3 linked regions of the Canis lupus familiaris genome follow. The protein of the gene in region 2 purifies or fractionates together with the protein of the main gene of each other region. This does not show direct contact. Links are inferred from orthologs where the notes say so. Each region holds a gene or a part of one and is shown on either strand. Other genes may lie near its edges. The genes, in order: AKT1S1, MTOR and FBXW7.

Region 1 (6,689 bases), on a different chromosome or scaffold from region 2:
CTACCTCAGCGAGGTTTTTTTTTTTTTTTTTTAAGATTTTTTTTTTTTTAATTTTTATTTATTTATGATAGTCACAGAGAGAGAAAGAGAGAGGGGCAGAGACATAGGCAGAGGGAGAAGCAGGCTCCATGCACCGGAAGCCCGATGTGGGATTCGATCCCGGGTCTCCAGGATCGCGCCCTGGGCCAAAGGCAGGCGCCAAACCACTGCGCCACCCAGGGATCCCAGGATTTTATTTATTTCTTCATTAGAGACACACAGAGAGAGGCAGAAATGTAGGCAGGAGAAGTAGGCTCGCGAGACTTGATCCCAGGACCCCAGGATCACAACCTGAGCCAAAGGCAGACGCTCAACAACTGAGTCACTCAGGAGCCCCCCTCAGTGGGTTTGTGTTAGTCAAAAATAAGATTGCCGAAGAGGACAGTCACATTTTCAAGAGAGGCACTCAGCCGACCTGCGAAGCTGACAAAAAACGCAGAATGCTCGATGCTTCCTCCTCAACCCTGGCTTGAGCAGAATTCTGGAATCTCCATTTGTCTCACACACACATACACACCCTCGCCAGGTTATTCAAACCCCCACTGCCCCAAGTGAGGCTTCATTCTCTCTACCCCTGGTACACCATTCTAACCTTCTTCCTGACCTCCCTGCCTCCAACTTCCCTCTATTCGGACCTGCCCATTCCCAGCACGGTCTCTCAGGAGAGCTTTCCACACCCACACCCTTCTCCTCCCATGGTTCCCCGAGGCCTCTAGAACATCATCCAAGCTTCCCAGTCGGGCATTTCAGAATCAACCATCTTTCCAGCAAACTGCTCTACAGAGACACCCCATTTCCTCCTGCCATCCCTGAAGTATTTTCTTGCTCCCTTATCCTTACGGTTCCAGCGCAATGTCTGCTTCCTCCAGAAAGGGGCAGGCCTCTGGAATCAGAGAGTCTGGTATCAAACTCAAGTTCCAACACCTCCTAGCTTTTTGATCTTGCAAAAGGAACTTCCAATCATTGTGCCTCAGTTTCCCAAAGTAGAATGGGGGTGAAGACTGAGGCAGGGTCCAAGTCAGACTCCTCTCTGGGTCCCAGCACAGAGCCTGGTGACAAAAAGCCTCAGGAGCCTCTAAGAACAAGAAGGGCAAAGTCTGGCACCCAGGGTAGGAAGGTGTCCTGGGAAGTGGGTGAGCCACCTGGGTCAGGGTGTGTTTCCTCTCTGAAGGGGACATGCCACACCCCTTCAGGCTCTTGTGGACTGAGAGCTCGTGGAACCCGAATCCACAGGCCACGCCGTCCTCTCGCACCCTGGCAGGGCTCTCCTAAGAGCAAACAGATGAGGGGGCAGCTGTCCCCTAGGCTACAAATCTCATGGTGTCAGCTTTCTTTTGATCGGGCATCTTCAGCTCCATTTTACAGACAAGAGGAAACCAAGGAGCAAAGAGAACCTAGATCCCAACAAGGATCACACAAGCTCCAAAAGTAAGTCTGGGTTTGCATCCAGGTCCTTCAAACATCTTCCACTGCCTGAACCTGGAAAAAAGCGAGTGGAGAAACGAGAAGAGAGAAAAGCCTACCTTCTTGGAGAAGAGAATTTGGGTGGAATCTCCAGCCTCCTCTACAGGAACCCAATGCAGGAGAACATCGCTGTCCTGAGGAAAGAAAAGAGGAATTAGAGAGACTCCCCTCCAATCACCGCAAGCCGTATTTCTGTACTTCTTCCCCGGCCCGGACCCTCAGGCTTACAAAGCCCCCCTTATACCCCCAGTCCGCGCTCCCTGCCTTCTTAAGGTCCCATCGTGACCTCCTAGATCATACTCCTATAGACGCCGCCTCCATCTCGCCCAGGGCCCGCCGGAGCCCTGCTCCCTCCTGGCCCACCTTCTCCACAACGCGGATGACGCCAGCGATGAGGGAGTCCGGGTCCTGGTGCTTCTTGGCGCTGGTGTGCAGATACACACCACCCTTCTCAAACACCACCTGCGGACACAAATCGGTGAGGGGCGGGACCCAAGCGCAGGACAGCCAGGGGGCGGTGCCCAGAGGAACGTCCCAGCCGGCGGGGGCGGGGCCACAAGGTAAGGGTCTTCCCTAGGGCAGCCGAGGGGAGGGTGACAGAGTATTTATAAAGGAATGGTGTCTTTGCTCCGGCTCAGCCGGGCTCCCAGAGCTCCGGCAGGGCGTTGGGCGAAGCCGACTACCAGAGGGCGTCGCTTCGCATCCCCAGGAGGGAAAGAACGCGTTCCCAGTGCTTACCCTGTAGCCGGCTCCCTCCATAGCCGCGGCCGAGGTCCCACTGCCCCGGCCCTCTCCCTTTCCGGGTCACCGTGCTGTCACATCCGGATAGGAGACTCCCCTCAAGCCTGGACAGTGGTAGCGCCCTTGCCTGTTCTAGAACAGGAGTGGACGTAACCACCTTTCAGAACGGGGTGGCTGAACTTGAACCACGAGGGTGTAAGTCACATGGCACGCACGGGGAAGGAGGGGCAGGCCAGCGAGAGTGCGCATGCGCAGTGCCGCTTCCCTTACCATGGAGTAAACAAGGGGGAGGATCCAAGGGCTCCACCCCCTCGCCCCAGCGCTCTCCGAAACACCTCCTTCTTTCTCCATATTGTATACTGGCATCGAAGCCAAGGAGATTCCATTTTGCTCGAGGGCACGGCCAAAGCTTGTCAGCTGCGGCCATGTTAATGCGGGGCAGTCCCATCTCTCTGAGGGGCGCAACAGCAAGGTCCTGGAAAACAGACGGGTAAAGGAAAAGAAGGTGAGAGGAGGCGTACGTCACGAGAGGTGCTGAGGGACTTGGGTTAACGGGATGAAGCCGTCAGTATCCCCGGGTACGAAGCGGACCCAGTCGAATTCCTGAGTCACCGTCGGGAGGCGGCGGTGTAGGCCGCCATATTGAAGCCTGGCAAAGCGAAGCAAAAAAAGTTGCCATATTGGATCTTCCCCAGCATTGGTGCTGAAAAGGGGGATAGGCTGGAGGGAGAGTCCATGTACGCTTTGGGCAAGTGATGCTAGGATGGTTGCCATGTCGTTAATGGGCACTACTTTCCTCCATTTCTGTGGAAGAAGTTGACAATGGGTGAGGGGCGTCAGGTCGCTGGCCTTAGTTTACTGTGGTCCTGAGAATACACGTGCCGACGGCCGTATTTCTTAGCAAATCGAAATGGTCTTGGCTTGTTTCCGAGCAAGCTGAAGCCTTTCTTTCACCATCTTTCTTATGGGCACCCTGCTGTCGCCACTGTCCCACTGTGATCCGGTGATGTCCCCGTGGTCATTATGGTCTCGGGCGGCCCCGATAAGGGAGGCGGAGTGTGCAGCATGGAGGAGGGCCAACCACGCGGAAGTGACGCGAGGCGCCGCCATGTCTTTTGAGGGCGGCGACGGCGCCGGGCCGGCCATGCTGGCTACGGGCACGTGAGTGGAGGCGGCGTTGTGAACCGCGGTGTGGGGAGGATTTGGCCGTCCGGAGGAGAGGGGCGCTGGGAGGGCGAGCCGCTCGCGGGAGGGGTATGGCCTGAGTAGATCAGAGGGCAGAGATCTTCCAGCGACCCTACGCTGAGCGCTAGGAAGGGGTAGCCCGCGGGAACCGTTGTGTCTCACTGGAGGCAAAACCTAGACAGACTTATCCTCCGGTCTGCAGACCCACTAGGATCCTTGCCTTGGCGTGGACCATGTCCACAGGGTCTGGGGGTTGCTCGGGGGGACTCGGGGCTCCCCTCACCCGTCCAAAGGCGGGACTTCCGGTCCTGGCCCCCCACCTGGGCGGGATTTCCTGTTTTCTTCCTAGAGAAGTGGGTCCTCCCTGGACCCCCGGGCGAGGTGGGGAGAAGGTTTCTGAGAGGTCGAGGAAGAGCCCAGGCCTTCACCTTTCCCCCGGCCTCGCGGGGTGGGGGCTGGGGGGCCACCCTCGAGTTTCTCCCACTTTGGGGCGGGGGTGCACTGCCAATTTGACAGGTGGTCGGAAGGGGGCTTAATTAGCATTCCTCCTTGCGTGGTGGACTTTGCCTCTTTCCTCACCTCTTCCTAGAGTTACTTCTTTCAGTTCACCTCCTCATCTCATCCTAAAGGGCCAATTACCTTAGCTTTCCCCTCCCCCTCCTCTGGGGGACAAGTCTCACCTCTCTCCCTAATCCTAGGCTCCTCAAATTGGTTGGCTGAGGACCCTCCGTCCATCTCTGAGCTCCTTAGAGGATACAAGACTTCCTCCAGCAGCTGAAAGGGTAGAGTCTCCCCTGGTCTTGGCCACTCTACTTTTAAACAACTAATGCCAGAGAGCCCCCAGGCCTTGGCAGAGAAGTTGAGTTGCCCTCCTTGTATTTGCCCAGTTCTCCTCCTCTTTACAGTGGGAGGACCCTCACACCCACTCACCCCCATTACACTCTTTTCAATCCTGTAACTACTCTAAGATCTAGGACAGAGAGTTTAATCCTGATGTCCCAGAGATGTGAAAGCCCTAGGCCTAGCACTGCCAGGCTGTGTGACCTTGGGCCAGTCATTTCCCTGCCCTGAGCCTTGGTTTCCTCCTTCTGGTAGGTGAGACCCTGAGCACTTCTCAGTTCTATTGGATTTTGGAGTCAGGCAAACAGCAGAGTCAGCCCTGCTCTGACCCATTTAACTTCTGGGACTCTGACCAATGCCTTAGGCTGTCTGAGCCTCACTTTCTCCATCTGAATGTAAACCTTTCCTGATAAGGAAGGCAAGATGGCATTTGGGATTAAGAACAGGCTCTCCTCTCCAGCCCCTTTTACCTCATCGAGATACTGAATCTCCCTAAGCCCTTGATGTGCAACCATGAAATAGGGTAATAACAGCCCCTGCCTCATAGGGTTGGGGAGAAGGTAGCATGAGAATGGTGATGATCCATTTGCATCCCTGCCTGGCATGTGGGAAGTGCAGGGTGAGTTTGCCATGGGGTCTGTCAGGAATGGTGCTGGTTGTGACCTCACTGTGTGTGGCTTCCAGCAAGGGCTTTGTACTCTATGGGCCTTGGCTGTCTCATTAGTGAGGTAACAGCTCCCACCTTAGTGGGTCAGGTGGGAGGTGAAATGAGAGGTGTAGACTCCCTACACAGAGTCAGTGCTCAGCAAACACTGGTTCATGTGATTATAAGTTGAAAAGGGCCTGCACATTGAAATCAAATAACCCTGGCTGGACTAGAACCTTGCTTGAATTCCTCCAATGTTGGGGTGCCCCCTACCTCCCTGAGGAGGCTTCTTGGCTTCCCAGCAGTCCTGGTTTAACCACTTTGATTTACAGGAAGAAGAAAATGAGACACAGAGAGGGCCAGTCAGTGGTCCAAGGTCACACAGCAGGTTTGAGATGGCCGGAAGCCAGCCCACTTGCCCTTGCTCTTTTCTCTCTCTCTCTCTTCTTTAAGTTTGTTTATTTATTTAAATAATCTCTACACCCTTTGTGGGGCTCTTGATTACAATCCCAAGATCAAGAGTTGCATGCTCTTCCAGTTGAGCTAGCCAGGCACCCCAACCCCTTGTTCTTTTCATTTCATAAGTAGATGCATCCAGTAGATTGTCTGCTTAGGACAGACCTGTTCTGGGGTACAGATCCCCGACCTTGGGGAGCTCAGATGTGTGATGGAGGAGGCAGACAGGTACAATTGTCACAAGCTCAAATGACAGTGAGGTATAATGGATGTAGCCCAGGGCATTGTGGGTCTAGGGAAGGCATCTGGCAGAAAAGTCTTGTAGGAAATACAAAATTTCATGGATGGAGTCTAGGCGCAGAGAGCAGCTTGCACACCATTTTCTGCTCCATCCCTGGTCTCTGAGGCCTGTCAGGTGCTGGGCAATGCTGGCGGCTCAGAGATTAATCCCATGGGCTCCCCCTCAGGTGGCTCCACAGTGGCTGGGGAGATGGAGGTGGATCCAGACAGTACTCCCCATGGGAATATGTGCTAGAATGGAAGGACTCTCAGACATTGTAGGAGTCCAGAGAGTGGGGACTGAGCCCATCTGGGATGAGGGGAAGCTCCTTCCACGCTAGGGTGAGAGAAAGGTCAACAAGTAATCAGGGAACAAGTTATCCAGGTATAGGGGGACCTGGTATAGGGGAACTATTTAACTGCAGGTCTGAGGGCTCAGAAGTCTGGAAGGTTGTGAAGCTGAGTGCAGAGCCGGGGTTACGACCATGTCCTGGGGATACTAGGGAGAGGCAAGGGCAGTTCCAGTGTAGGAGGACCCCAAGGGGCCCGAACTGGAGGCTCAGAGGTTCAGGAAGAGGCTGGAATGATTGTCCCGCAGAAAAAGAATGCAGGCGAGGCATATAACTTCAAATCTTCTATAAGCTGCATTAAAAAAGTCAAAGGAAAACAGATAAAAGTCATTTTCGCCTTATATCAACTAGCCATTATATCTGAGATGTCATCTTTTCCACATGTAATCAACCTCAGACTGCCAGTGAGATCTCTGACATCCAACCTTTTTTGTCCCAAGTCTTCTAAAATCCAGTGTGGGTTTCATACTCATGGCACCTCTCACCTTGGACCCGCCACATCTCAAGGGCTCCTTAGTCACACAGGTGGCGGGTGGTGCCCACATTGGACTAGGCAGGGCCAAGAGGAGGGGCGGGGGCTGTCGGTACTGGGCGTGGCGGGAGGAATGGGTCCGGAGGGTTGGGGACGGTGCTAGGAGGTGTGGATGGTGGGGAATGTGGAGAGTGGCAGATTTCGGGGAAGGGGCTGA
Region 2 (6,007 bases):
ACACACGCTGCTTGATAAACACCGTCCAGTCTCCCCTCGAATGCTGAAAACCCAGTTTCTGGGCCTTAGGGTTCTGTGTCTCAGAGGTGATCTGCTTTAGGACTCACTTCATTGAATCTCCTTCAGTAGACAATTCTCCCAAACAGATTCTTCGGTGTTGTACACACAGAAGAACGACGAGCAGCTGCGTTCAGATTTCTCAACTTGGGAGTTGGGGTTAAGGCACTGGGTTTGGCAGCCTCATCACATACCCGCAACATGATGCGATGCTCGATGTTGAGAAGGATCTTCTTTTTCTCTCTGTAGTCCCGGATGAGGGCGTGCAGCGTGTCGCAGTGGGGGACCCAGCCAATGAGGCCCGAGTTGGTTGATAAGGGGATGACAGCGTACCTCTGGATGCTGGGGTTATGGGACAGGAAACGGGCCCACTCAGCACACACGGAAGCGGGTTGAAGGACGCACCCTGCACAGGGCTGAGCACCACCAGCCTCCTCAACCTGCCTGATGAACTCACAGCCCCGGGGGAGCAGCCTCGTGATGATTTCTAAGCCAAAACAACCTCCCAGCATAATACCCACGTTCTTAACAGGAAGAGGAGGAAGGGAGCAGGGCGGACGGGGAAAAGTGAAACACCCCAGATGCACAGCATCTCTAGTCTAGTGGCCATGGGCTGTTCCATTCCAGACCCTCTTTCTGGTGGCTGTTTCAGGCATTTCCCTAGAAAGTACGCTCAAAGTATGGATAATTCCTCTTGTTGTGTTTGACACCTTGGCTACTGACGACTTCCTGTCAGGTACGTTCGTCTATAGCTGATTTCGTGAAGGGACGTGAGCACATGGATGGGAAGTAAGGAAACCCTAGAAGACGGGTCAGATCGCTGCCCACCCCCACGCAGCACCGCGTCCTGGATACCTGAGGTTCTTGCGAAGAGACGTTGGGTCATTGGCCAGAAGGGTGTTCACCAGGCCGAAGAGCTGCATCACCCGCTCATCCTGCCGCAGGTCTTCGTGGCCCTTCAGGAGGAAAACAAACTCATGCCCGTTGCTGCCTGTGAGGAAGGTGGGAGCAGTTAGCACAACCAGCCCGGTACCCACAAGCTCCCAGAGACTACACGTTCCCTACCCAGCCCTATTTCCGCACAAATGCAAGAAAGTTCCCTAGAACTGATGCAAAGAATGGCCCTGCTCTTGATGTTCCCAATGAAATGTCGGTCAAATTAAAAACAAATACAATAAAAAACAGCCCTGTCCAGGGTCCCCGGGGGGCTGAGGCAGGTAAGCGCCTGCCGTCCGCTGAGGTCATGGTCCCGGGTCCCGGGTCCCAGGATGGAGCCCTGAGAGGGACTCCGAGCAGGGAGTCTGTTTCTCCGTCTCCCTCTGCTCCCCTGCCTGTGCGCTCTTTCTGTCTCAAGTAAATAAATACAATCTTCAAAAAGCAATGAAATAAAAACAGTTCTATGAAGATCAGGCGTGAGTGTGCACAGGGAGGCCATTCTGGATGCTCCCTCACAAGCCACTGTCTGCCCTTCTCGGTCTTGCTGGGGCCTGTGCAGCCTGAGCCCTAGAGACCGGGTCGCCCACCTTCCCAGCTGGGCCAACGGGGATACTGGCGGGAGGGAGGTCAGAGGGTGGGAGAGGGAGAAGCCAAGGGTTTGCCCCTGTCAGCCGGCCGGGCTCCCGTTCTAGAAGGTAGCAGAGTCCCCCCATCCGGGCTGTACTACTGGCGATGGCCTCTTTCCAGGTCGTGTGCTCTCAACAGGCTCCCCGGCCTTTCGGGCCAGGCGGGGGCGTGAGTCACAGCTTCCCACTGTGGGTTCTCTTGACTCTGTTCACAGCTTCCCTGGGAACAGGTCCTTCATCCGGGTCTCTGAGCAAATACCGTGGAGAGCCCGACTGACCCGTGTGTTCGTCCCAGGAGATGCCGGCCCACGGAGAGGCGGTCACTCGTGCCACGACGAACCGTGCTGAGTAACTACTGCATTTAAAACGCATGAGCCGTACGAGAGGAGAGAGCCCTCAAAGGGCCGCCAGGGCATCTGGATGTCCTGCAACTGCCCAGGTGCTCACGGAGCTCCCATGAGAACCCATTTCCACATCAGTTTGTTTCTCTTACAGAGTCATTTCCCACAGAGAGATACCCTGATGGTAAAAGAGAACATTCAAGAGCCCAGGAGCCCTTTCTTCAGCCCTGCTTGTCACCTGCCACACCTGCTGCACCATGTCAGTCCCCTGCAGTGCCTGCTGCCCCAGCTGCCCAGGCTGCACACCCTGCACGGCAGTGAGGCTTCCCATAAGCACGCACAATGGTCCGAGCACCAGGAGTCCGGAGGAGGATGCATGGACCTCTATTTCCCTCTCCACGGACACGGGAGAGGAGGGATACGAACGGCGAGCCGTGATTTCAGAAAAGTGGGGAGAGGTTCAGCCAGGGTGGGAGGGAGATGCAGGAGGCGGAAGCACACGTGTCCTTACCCATGAGCGTCAGCTTCCGGGGCCTCTGCTTGGAGGTGATGACCTGCAGGGACGGTGCTATGGACTGAATGCGAATGATGGGCTGGTTGGGGTCGTACGTTCCCGGCACGGCCAACTCAAGGTCCCGGCACATCAGAAGTTTGGGGGAAACATACTGCAGTTCCAGGGAGGTGAGCTGTGGATAATTACCACGGGGGTTAGCTTTCTGCCTCCAGGGAGGAGTGTAAATGCAGTCTAGGTCCTTCTCAATGGATTGCTAGTGGCAATGTCTTATCCCCACGTCTGCAGACAGCAGTGAGACCAGGTGCTTCGCAGTGAGGGCCAGGACGCTCTCAGCAAGAGAAGGGGCGATGACAGTTAATGCTGCTGGAACCGGACGTTCCTACCTGAGGCAGCTGCTTGGAGATCCGTCTGAACACGTGGTAATAGAGGTCCCAGGCCTGGGTGAGGTCCTTGACGTTCCCGGATTTCATGTACTTCCTGCACCACTCCTGGGCCTCCATTAAGTCTCGACCATATGCCTGCGGGAAGGCAGGGTGCAGACTCAGCCGCAGGTGAACCCCACGCACACAGCACAACTGCTCGGGCACGCGCTGCAGCGGCCGGACTCTGGCCCTCAGCCAGGCTCAGCAAGGGTGCAGCCCAGTCCTGGAGGCCCCCGCGTCAGGATGGCTCCCGGGCGCGGTAAGGAGAGGCAAGACGACCTCGGGAAGAACCTTGTGGTTTTCCGGGGAAAGCCTTGGAGGGTTCTCATAAGCTGGTGACAACGAAACTGCTGGGGTTTCTATGTTCTGCGACCTCCGTCAGAGTACGTTTTACTCAAGTCAGCACGAGGGCCGGGGGAAAGGGGTCTGGTACGGGCTTTGGGTCATGCCACGCCGTGCTTTCCTATCCCTTACCTGATTAAAAGATGTTTCCTTCAGAGTCTGGGGGCCCCGTTCCATCATAGCATGCAGGGGCTCCAGCACCTCAAACATGCCTTTCACGTTCCTCTCCCCAAAGTACAAACGTGACGCTTCTTCCAGGCCTTCGTGCCACATCTCGTGCCAGAGGATGGCCACGCGGATGAGCTCCTCACTCACCTGGACCAAAGTGGGGAGGGAGGGAAGGCGGACGATGAGCCCCCTCAGAAAGGCCCGTCTTGGAGACAGGAGCACCGTTGTGAGGAAGAGTCTCCCTGAAGACGTCGGCTAGGTGGTGGGTCGGCAAAGCCCCGCACTGCCCCCCGCCTCACCATCATGGCCTGCTGGACCAGGGTGTTGCTGTGCTCGCACATGTTCTTCAGAATCTTGTTGGCTGCGTTGTGGCGGGCCGTCGTGGTGGATTTAGAGGCCACGGTCAGGGGGTAGATGAGGGCCTGGGGCGGACACAGAAAGAACCCTCGCACACTCTCACTCTTGGGAGGACAAGAGAGGTGGAGAGGGTGCTGCTGACACTCATTTGAGGCCACCCGGCCGGGGCCACTCAACCTTGGGGTGGGTGGGGGCACCTTCTCTTGAGGGAAGCCCCGGGGCCGGGGCCTGGCAGCCGGACAGACGGGATGCCTGGCTCCTCGTTCCTGCACTGTGTCTCGAGAGCAGCTCTAGGGAAGGCTGCGATCCGGATCAAGAGGATCCGGATCCGCGGTTTGAGGAGAAACTGCCCCGGGGGCCCACATACCTGGGGGTGGTACCGGCCAATGTCTGTGAGAAGCTGGTGAATGAGGCGGCCCACCAAGGGCCGAGGCGTATCGATTCTCGCAATGAGCTGAGGTATAACCTGGCATTCGGAAAGACACGGTACGCAGCGCGTGAGATGCAGAAACAACTAGTTACGCTTCTGGGCAATGACCCGCTCTTGAAACTTGTTTGTGGGAGATGCTGTTAAGCTCTGAAACGGGTCACTCCCTTCAGTTCTCTGGGAGAAACTAAAGAAGATACGGGGTCTCGACCTTGGGACTGAGCCCCCTCTTCCCACTGTTCACCAAACACCGTGTGATGCGAGGGGGAGAGAGCAGGGGGGAGACCCGAGCCAGCCTCACCTGTAACCAGGTGTCGATCTGGATCGCTTTCACCCCCTCCACCAAGGCTTCGTTTACATCCGGCCAGTGACCATAGTCAAACCATAAGGTGAGGACTCTGGAGAAGAAAAATGAGAAAAATCACAGAAAATTTACTTTCTCACTTTTGTCTGTTTGGTTTTCTATCTTTAAGACTTGAAAAAAGACTAATCGGTGAAGGGGCATCTAGGTGGCTCAGCTGCTTGGGCGCCCAACCCTTGATTTTGGCTCAGGTCATGATCTTAGGGTCCTGGGATCAAACCCAGAGATGGGCTCCACACTCAGTGTGAGTTTACTTGAGCTTCTCTCCCCACCCCCACCTCTCCCTCCCCCCCTCACTCTCTCTCTCACTCTTTGTCTCAAATAAATAAATCTTTAAAAAAAAAAAGAAAAGGAATAACTGGCGGGGCCTCAAATCAGTGGTTTCCCCGCCCCAGACACGGTTCCCCTGTCTGGTGTCAGGACAGTGGTTGGCGATGGTCGTTAGTACTTGGCTCAACACAAGGAGGAGCATCCCAAGGGAAGGCTTACTTTATTCGAGATAATAGAGGGATCAGCGTGGCGTGAGCTCAGAAATCTCACAGATGAGCCCAGGGACGGTCCACGGACAATGTTTGCACATACAGAAAGCCATCTGTGGACCCGTGGCAACGGGGCAAACGTAGGACTTGGCTGTCCTAGTCACCCCGTCGTCTGCCGACCGGTCAGTCTGTGCCCTTTGTGTCGGCCTAAGTGGCCTCTAAAAGCTAAGGGGATCTCAGCACGACTGCCACAAACAGCTGCGCCGCCTCCTGCAGAGCCGAGCGCACTCCCACTCCCACTCTCAGGCCACGCCTCCCCCTCGGCCTTGGCAGGTGCAGGCTGCTCAGCGGCTACCCGGGGACGTGCTCATCGGGTGGGGAAGCAGAAGGGGACGTCGCGGTATTCTGTGTTCTGCTGCACGCATGGCCTGGCGGGGTCCCGCCCTCCTCTGATACCTCAGTGTGTCCTGGAGGTTGTTGCCTCGTGACAAGGAGATGGAACGGAAGAAGCCCTGGACGGCGGGGACCGTGTACATCAAGAGGGTCTTGGACAAATCCTGTTGGAACACACACGCCTGCCTTAGTGTTCTCAGCTGCCAAAGGGGCCTGACTGCACACTAACTGTCCCCGCCCTCAGAGATGCGACGAGGTTAAAGCAGTTACTGCGCCAGAAGCCTCTGGATTAGCAGCTGGCACGCAGCAGGCTCGCAGGAAATGCCAGCTGTGTCACGATCCCTATCATTGCAGGTTCGTGGTGGCTTCCTAAGCGGGCTGAGGCGGATCACGCGGCTCCCCGGGACTGCTGGCCACCCCGGGTCACTGGACGGACAACCGGAGGGGAGGGGGCCGCACGGGCAGAGGACGGATCCCGCGGGCCTCCGTTCTCAGGGGGAGCCGCACATGTGCACGGCCACCCACGCGCTCACAGGTGCAGGCTTTATGGGGATGACCTCATTCTTGTGGGAAGAAGGACCAGA
Region 3 (6,651 bases), on a different chromosome or scaffold from region 2:
CTTGCTTCTGCAACACCCACTTCCCCACTCCTATCACTCTTTCTGCATCATTTTAATAAAAGTGAGCCCTTGGGTTCGCCCAGTTAGAACCTTCTTTGGTCTACTGTTTGCATATGATGCTGGTAGAAACCCTGAGCTTCCAAAATCTGCCTATAAAAACTCGCTCCTTAGTTCCCAAAGCGGAAAGACTTGTAACATCCATTCATGCTGCTTCGGGAGCAGGTGGGGTGTGCCAGGGTCCGGCGGCGGAACTCTGGAATCTGCGTCCTTCCATCCTTGCTGCTGCTTTCTCATCTCAGTCTCCACGCTATTCACCCGGACAGGTTCCAGGCAGATTCCGAGGATTCTGACACTTTCATCTCAAAATTTCCTTTCCTGGAGAACTAACTACACTTTACAACTTCGTGAGTTTTACTTGAATTTACTTTCCAGGGTAACATCTGTAGGAGAAGCTGCGTAAGAGTAACAATATTTATTTGAGAAAGGAAATAGCCTTTGGATTAGACCTGAAACGCAGGCCAACGTTTTCTCGATGACGGTTGTGGACACTTACCTAACGACCAGAATCAGCTCTCCAAAAGCTTCACAACAAGCAAGAATGATTCCTAAAATGGAGACACTACTAACATCTCCTCCTGAAAAAAGTCAAAAATCTCTCCACAGTCTCCGGGAGGATGGTCCCCTTCCCTCGTCCCGGCCAGTCGCCCCCGCCCCCCCCCCTCCCCCCTTTGGAGCATAAGGCTCAGATGGTGACTCGGGACTCAAACCACAGCCCTACGTCCCCCGGCGGGGTGGGGGTGGGGGTGGGGGTGGGGGCGGAGAAGGGCTGTCTGGCCGCTCTGGTCTCTCCGACGCTACGCAGCTTCCGGAGCGCTCGCGCCCCATCGAGTACTCTGCGCTCCGCGGGTGCCCGGGGGGAGGCGTCCATTCATCCCCGAGCATGTGCTCGGCCCGACCGCACGCTGCCGGGTGTCGGGGGCCGGGCCTCGCCCCGCGCCCGCGCCCCGCGCAGGGGGAGGGGGCGCTCGCTCCCCGGAGCAGGTGCAGCGGGTCAGGCGGCGGGGCAGCCCGCGCTCAGTCCGGCTTCCCGAGGCCCGTCGGGGCTGGATGCCTCACCTTCGGGTGGTGCGCGCCCGAGCATGGCCGCGCGGGCCGGGCCTTCCTCCTCGCTCCCAAAGGAGCAGCCACCGCCTGCCCCGAAGGAGACCGCTGCGGAGCGAGCTCTCCCCGCCGCCGCCGCCGGGTCAGGGGTAAGATCAGGCGGCAGCTTAGGCTCCCCTCGGCTCCTCCCCTTCCTCTCCTCGGTTCTGACGCGGCCGCAGAGGCGGCGGCGGCGGCGGCGGCAGGTCCCGCGGCCCGAGGCGCACCCACCCGCTCGCGGAGCCCCGACTTCCTCTTCCCTTCCCGCGTCATCAGAGCGCGCCGCAGTCACCCAGGGCGGGGTGCCTAGAACCGGGGGAAAAAAAAAAAGGCCCGCGGAGGAAACGTCCCGGCGGAAAGAAAAGGGCGGGGGTGAGGGGAGCGGTTGCTAGGTGACTTGCGTCATCCGGCCGCGCCGCTTTCCTCCCGCCCCTCTCTGGAGTGAGGCGAGAGCCCCGCACAGAGCGAGCGAGACAGCGAGCGGAGCTCCGGGCGCCGCCGCCGCCGCCGCGGAGAGCGTGAGAGCGAGCGAGCGTCCGCGGGACCCGGCCCCCGGGCACCGGCCGCCGCCGAGACCTCCGTCCTGACCCGGACCGGCGGGAGCCGCGGCCGCCCCTCTTCTCCCCCCCTCGCCTTCCCGGCCGGCAGCCGCGGCTGCACACGCCGGAGCCCGAGCCCGAGCCCGAGCCCGAGCCCGAGCCGGAGCCGGAGCCGGCGGCTGGGGGGCAGGGAGGCGGCTACCTCGGGCCGGGACTCGTCAGCCGCTCCGCGCTGCGAAGACGCCGAGGACGGGCCGGAGCTTCCGTCTCGTCCCGGGCCGCGGGGCGAGGGACCCCCGACGTGTAGGGAGGGGGTCCCGGCCGCAGCGACACATGCGGGAGCCGGGAGCGGGGGCGGCGCCGAGCGGAGCCGGCCGGGTCCCCCCCCTCGCCGCCGCCTCGGCCGCCCGCCCGGGGCCGTAGCATCTGGCCCCGGAGTGTATGAGCCGGGGGCCCGAGCTCAGCAGCCACCCCCCGGCCGGGGGGGCGGGGACCCCGATGTGAGGCGGCGGCCCGGGCGCGGCGGGGAGAGCGGGAGCGGCGCCGCCGTCCTTCCCTCGCCTTCCCCCCGTCCTCAGCCCCCTCGCGGGGGGGTCCTCTCCCTCGGCCAGCCGCCGGCCCCCCGGCTCCTCGGCAGGACTCCGGGAGGAGTTCCCAGAGCCCCCTCCCCCGCCCCAGCCCCGAGGGCGGCGGGGCCGGGGGGGACCCGGGGGGCCGGCCGCAGCCTCAGCGCAACAGGAAAACTTGGGAAGAGCAGAATCTGGAGCCTCGCCGACGGGACTGTCCCGGGAGACGCGGCCCGGGGCGGGCAGGAGACGCAGCCTGAAGACACCCAGGAAGAGGGCGGCAGGAGGGAAGCGGGGCGGCCGCCGCCTCCCGGGCCCCGGCAGCGCGGAAGAGCCCGGCTGGCCGCCCGGCTTGGCGCGAGCACCGCTCCGCCCTCACAGCGCCGGAGCCTTCCGCGGCCGCCGCCTCCCCGACGGAGGACGGGCGCCGGCCCGGTTCGCAGCGCCGCGGCTCTCCCGCGAAGTGTGAGTGGCCCGGGGAGAGGGCGCCGGGGCGGGGGGCGGGGGGGGGGGGGCGGGTTGGCGCTGCCGGAGTGGGGCGCGCGTTCGCGGGGTGCGGGTGCGGGTGCGGGTGCGCGTGTGGATGAGGCGCGGTGCATCTGTATCTTTACCGCGGGGGAGAAGGTTTGGGCCGTCCTGGGTCTCGGGACGCTTCACCTCTTTGTACGGGTAACGCGCAAGCTTACAGGTCCCTGTCTCAGGGGAGTTCTGTCTTTGTCCAGAGCGGACACTTGCACCTTTCTGGCCAGAAATCGGCAAAAGGAAATTGAGGAAGCCAAAGCATATGTGCACACAAAGGACATCTCTGTAATACACCTTTTCCTGGTGCACCGGGTGTGAAACAGCGCTGTGGTTTTTGTTTCGGGGCAACTCTTAGGGTTCTTGGGAGGGAACCTTTTACCCTGTGAACCCCTGAATTTTACTTTCGGTAAAATTCCTTTCTTGTTTTTGCAGTCTTCCTTGAGAGATTTTCATTTCAGTACCTATTGGTACAGGAGTTGTTTTTTTTTTTTTTTTTTTTTCTTCTTCTTCTTCTTCTTCTTCTTCTTCTTTTTTTTTTCTTTCTTTCTTTATTTCTTTTTTAACCTTCTCATTTCCTGGGTCCAACTCCTGCGTGTCAGGATACTGTAAGAGATTTCAGGTACTCAGGAAGTTGACTCTTACCAATCATGACTTACTTGGGGGAAGAGCATCTAGTACTTCAAGCAGTTTATAAAAGTTGTTACCTTTTTCCCCCTACCCAAATGCCTTTTCTTTTCTTTTCTTTTTTTAATTTTTGAGTAGCCTATCTTAATTGCCAGCACTTTTTTTTTTTTTTTTAATTTGGCAGGATGACTTGAAACTTTGCTTGTTTGAGTTATCCTTACTTTGCTACCAAACAGGGAGAAACTTTTTGATATTTGATTATTTGAAGAGTGATTCTTTTCTCTTCCCTTCCATTATTAGAAGGTGAGGTTTAGGTATCCCGTCAAAGTGCCCAGGCGAGGTGCAGGAAAGTAAGGACCATTCCATGTATTTAAATAGACCTTAAGTGTTAAGCATAGGGTGGAATTTTATTTAACAGAACATAGGCAGTACCATACTGAGAATTGTGACTCCTCCAGACAACAGTGTAGGCTCACTACCTGTGAAGCCGCTGCTGAGAGAAGCTTTGTGGGAATGAATGAAAGGCTGGGATTGTCTGTGCTAACTTCTCCATTCAGGATCTTGATTTTACATATATTTAAAACTTTCTCAAATAGGGTTTTCGTTTGTACTTTTTCGAGGTAGTGGGTTATACAAGTGTACTAGCCCCTGAAATATTTGACATTTCATTTATTTATCCCAAACCCGTCTCTTTAAAGTCCCAAGGCACCTCCAGCGTTTTTGTTTTGAGAATGCTAGGACACGCTAGAGTTCATCTTTTCCTGGTTTTTTAGATTTCGATTGTTCCTCTTTATTTACCATCATCATGCCTAGTTTTCTGTGTCAGTCTTAGAATGATTTCTTTGATCCCTTGATCGTTTTGCCTCTCCTGGAACTTTTCCAGCTGTTTTGTTTCTCTTTATATATTTGTGCTTGGGATGCTTTTGTAAGGAACCTTAAGTTCTATCTATTTTAAATGGGTAATGACATGAAAATTCTGATGAGTAGATGTAATGTTAGATGTTGAATCAAAAGCAAATGTCTCTGGATCTGTTATCTTATTTTGAGACCTTGAGGAAGTCCTGTATCCCATGTTTCACAAAAGATGGGAGGAAGAGAAATCTAGTCTGGGCATAGGCTGTTTTTTGGGGAGGAAGGGAAGCCATACCTAGCAAACTATAACTTGAGTGTAGATTTGTACTCTGTCGAAGTTGCTTACTAACTTTAAGACTTCTTTTTTATTGCTTTGACTGGAGATTGGTTAAAAAGCACGGTAATGTTTTATTGTATGTTTGGGTAGCAAAGAAACAGCAAAGTATTTGGGGTCCCTGCCTTTGAGATGCTTTTACTTATGGCATAGGCTATGAAACATAAATTCTACAAAATTGTAGGAAAAGGGGGGAATGAGCCAATATTTATTTACAATCATTATATGTCATACTACTCTGGTGCCTTATAGGTATAAATGTATTTGTATATTTTCCATTAGCAAAATGTTGGTGTTGGACTATACAAACCCAATTGGAATGTCTGAACCAAATCTGGGAAAGAAGGTCTCTCTTAGGAAGAAAGATACAGGTGGAGGTAGTGTTTAAGACTTTTGGAATTGGGGGGTGTGAGGGACAAATGTAATCAGGAAGTTAGCTTGATGGGAATATGGATGGAGGTTGTTAAGTGGGCTTAGAGTCAGTTTGTGTTTGTGCAGTTACATGTATACAGCCCAAAGGAGCAATTGAGAACAATGTTCCGAGAGGGTAGTTTTAGGTGATTGAGGAGAAATTGTATTTTTAGTTCAAGAGGCATTATACCTGGAGTAGTTTTGTTTTTCTAGTGAACCAACATTTTAAACCATGGTCATCAAAGAGCTCTACAACTGGAGGAGTGAAAAAGGAGATGTTCTAGTTTGGTGCTAGTGGTTTCTTATAGAAAATAATTCAGAAATAGGGCAATGGACTTTGTTTTTGACATTACATTTTAGGGCAAAAAGTTGGTGCTGATGCAATCTGAAGACAGAAAAATAGTTAAACTAATGAGTGATATGCTGAAAATGTAAAGTTAGGAGTCATTTTCACAGTATTAAGGTTTCTCAGGAGAGCTGAGAAGAGAATAGAGAGCCAAAAAACCCGTGTATTTTTACTTTGGCGGGGAAGGGAATCTGTTTAAAGTTAGCAAAGATATAGTAAGAACAGAGAATGGATGAGACTCTCCCGAAACACATATTTTAGAAGTGTGTAAGATTTGAAGTTCAAAAGGGAGGAACAGGCTTTAAACATGGCTACCACTTCAGTGTTTGGACATGTGAGTCTATATTTGTGAAGTAGCTAACAAGCTTTCTGTAGAGTATATAGGTCCCTTGAGATTAAGTTCAGAAGAGTATATAGGATTTCACAGTTAAGGAACTTCTATATAAAAGGACAGGTTTGTTTTCATAAAATTCATGCTTTTAAAGTTTGCCCAGCATTATTATCCTAAGTTTGGTCTTTAACATGACGAGTGAAGTAGGGCTAAAAATAGCTGGCAGAGAAGGCTGCTTCCCCTGCTTGCAGTTGATGTGTCTTTGTGTCCCATACAATGGAGGGGATATCCCTGTGTTGGCACAGCAGTGCTGAAAATGCCTTTTTTTTTTTTTAAACCTTTTTATTAAAAAACAAACAGAAACAACTTGGCATCGACAAAATTCATCTGTCTTTGAAGCATGAGACACTGGAAGATTTTTTTTGTGTGTGTGGTGAAACCTGCAGCTAATGGGCCTTGTTTTTAGTGTTGACTCTAACAAAGAGTAAGGATTGTAAGGTCAGTAATATATACGCATCCACACTTTTTGTATTCTTTAATTCATTCAGTTTGTCACCTTCCTACTAGCTTCTTTGGTCTCTTCTTAAGAGTTTAATTCAAATGGCAGAACCCTCTGGGGAAGAGATGTATTTAGGTAGGGAGCCAGATCTCAATTGATCCTAAGATGAAGGTACAGGACTGAAATATGTGCCATATGGGTGCGTTCTCCACCCCTCTATTTTCCGCAACATATTTTATGCAGGTGAAACCATGTTTAGATTAACTTTAAGGACAGCATTTTCAGGTTGACATGATTTACTAGTAAAGATAGTGGGAAAGGTGTGACTCTGGTAGGAGGGAGTGGTAACCTCATTGTGCTTTGCCTTGGCACCTTTGGGGTTGATACTGGATGATTAAAGAGGCTTGGGTCTACATTTGTGTTTTAGCATCAGATGATCTAAAAACCTACACCGAGGCTGAGAGCAGCTCAATTCACTTACTTTAGA

Evidence for each region.
Region 1: the proteins of MTOR (region 2) and AKT1S1 purify together in Homo sapiens (affinity purification with western blotting; 8 studies listed by BioGRID and IntAct, with this or other methods). This does not show direct contact. The link is inferred for Canis lupus familiaris from reciprocal best matches to the Homo sapiens genes MTOR and AKT1S1.
Region 3: the proteins of MTOR (region 2) and FBXW7 purify together in Homo sapiens (affinity purification with western blotting; 9 studies listed by BioGRID and IntAct, with this or other methods). This does not show direct contact. The link is inferred for Canis lupus familiaris from reciprocal best matches to the Homo sapiens genes MTOR and FBXW7.

The regions. Positions count from the first base shown.
Region 1 is NC_049222.1:107,359,743-107,366,431, forward strand, and holds the start of AKT1S1 (proline-rich AKT1 substrate 1), read left to right. Parts: upstream 1-2,537; 5' UTR 2,538-3,208; coding exon 3,209-3,405; intron 3,406-3,413; exon of another isoform or gene 3,414-5,303; intron 5,304-6,689. Other genes in the region: TBC1D17 (TBC1 domain family member 17), read right to left, coding at 1,563-1,637, 1,867-1,965, 2,242-2,262. UniProt on the Homo sapiens protein: Negative regulator of the mechanistic target of rapamycin complex 1 (mTORC1), an evolutionarily conserved central nutrient sensor that stimulates anabolic reactions and macromolecule biosynthesis to promote cellular biomass generation and growth.
Region 2 is NC_049223.1:84,396,918-84,402,924, reverse strand, and holds part of MTOR (serine/threonine-protein kinase mTOR), read right to left. Parts: intron 5,588-6,007; coding exon 5,487-5,587; intron 4,589-5,486; coding exon 4,492-4,588; intron 4,230-4,491; coding exon 4,131-4,229; intron 3,829-4,130; coding exon 3,706-3,828; intron 3,554-3,705; coding exon 3,371-3,553; intron 2,993-3,370; coding exon 2,858-2,992; intron 2,647-2,857; coding exon 2,472-2,646; intron 1,049-2,471; coding exon 913-1,048; intron 400-912; coding exon 252-399; intron 1-251. UniProt on the Homo sapiens protein: Serine/threonine protein kinase which is a central regulator of cellular metabolism, growth and survival in response to hormones, growth factors, nutrients, energy and stress signals.
Region 3 is NC_049236.1:50,769,675-50,776,325, reverse strand, and holds the start of FBXW7 (F-box/WD repeat-containing protein 7), read left to right. Parts: upstream 1-2,626; 5' UTR 2,627-2,710; intron 2,711-6,651. UniProt on the Homo sapiens protein: Substrate recognition component of a SCF (SKP1-CUL1-F-box protein) E3 ubiquitin-protein ligase complex which mediates the ubiquitination and subsequent proteasomal degradation of target proteins.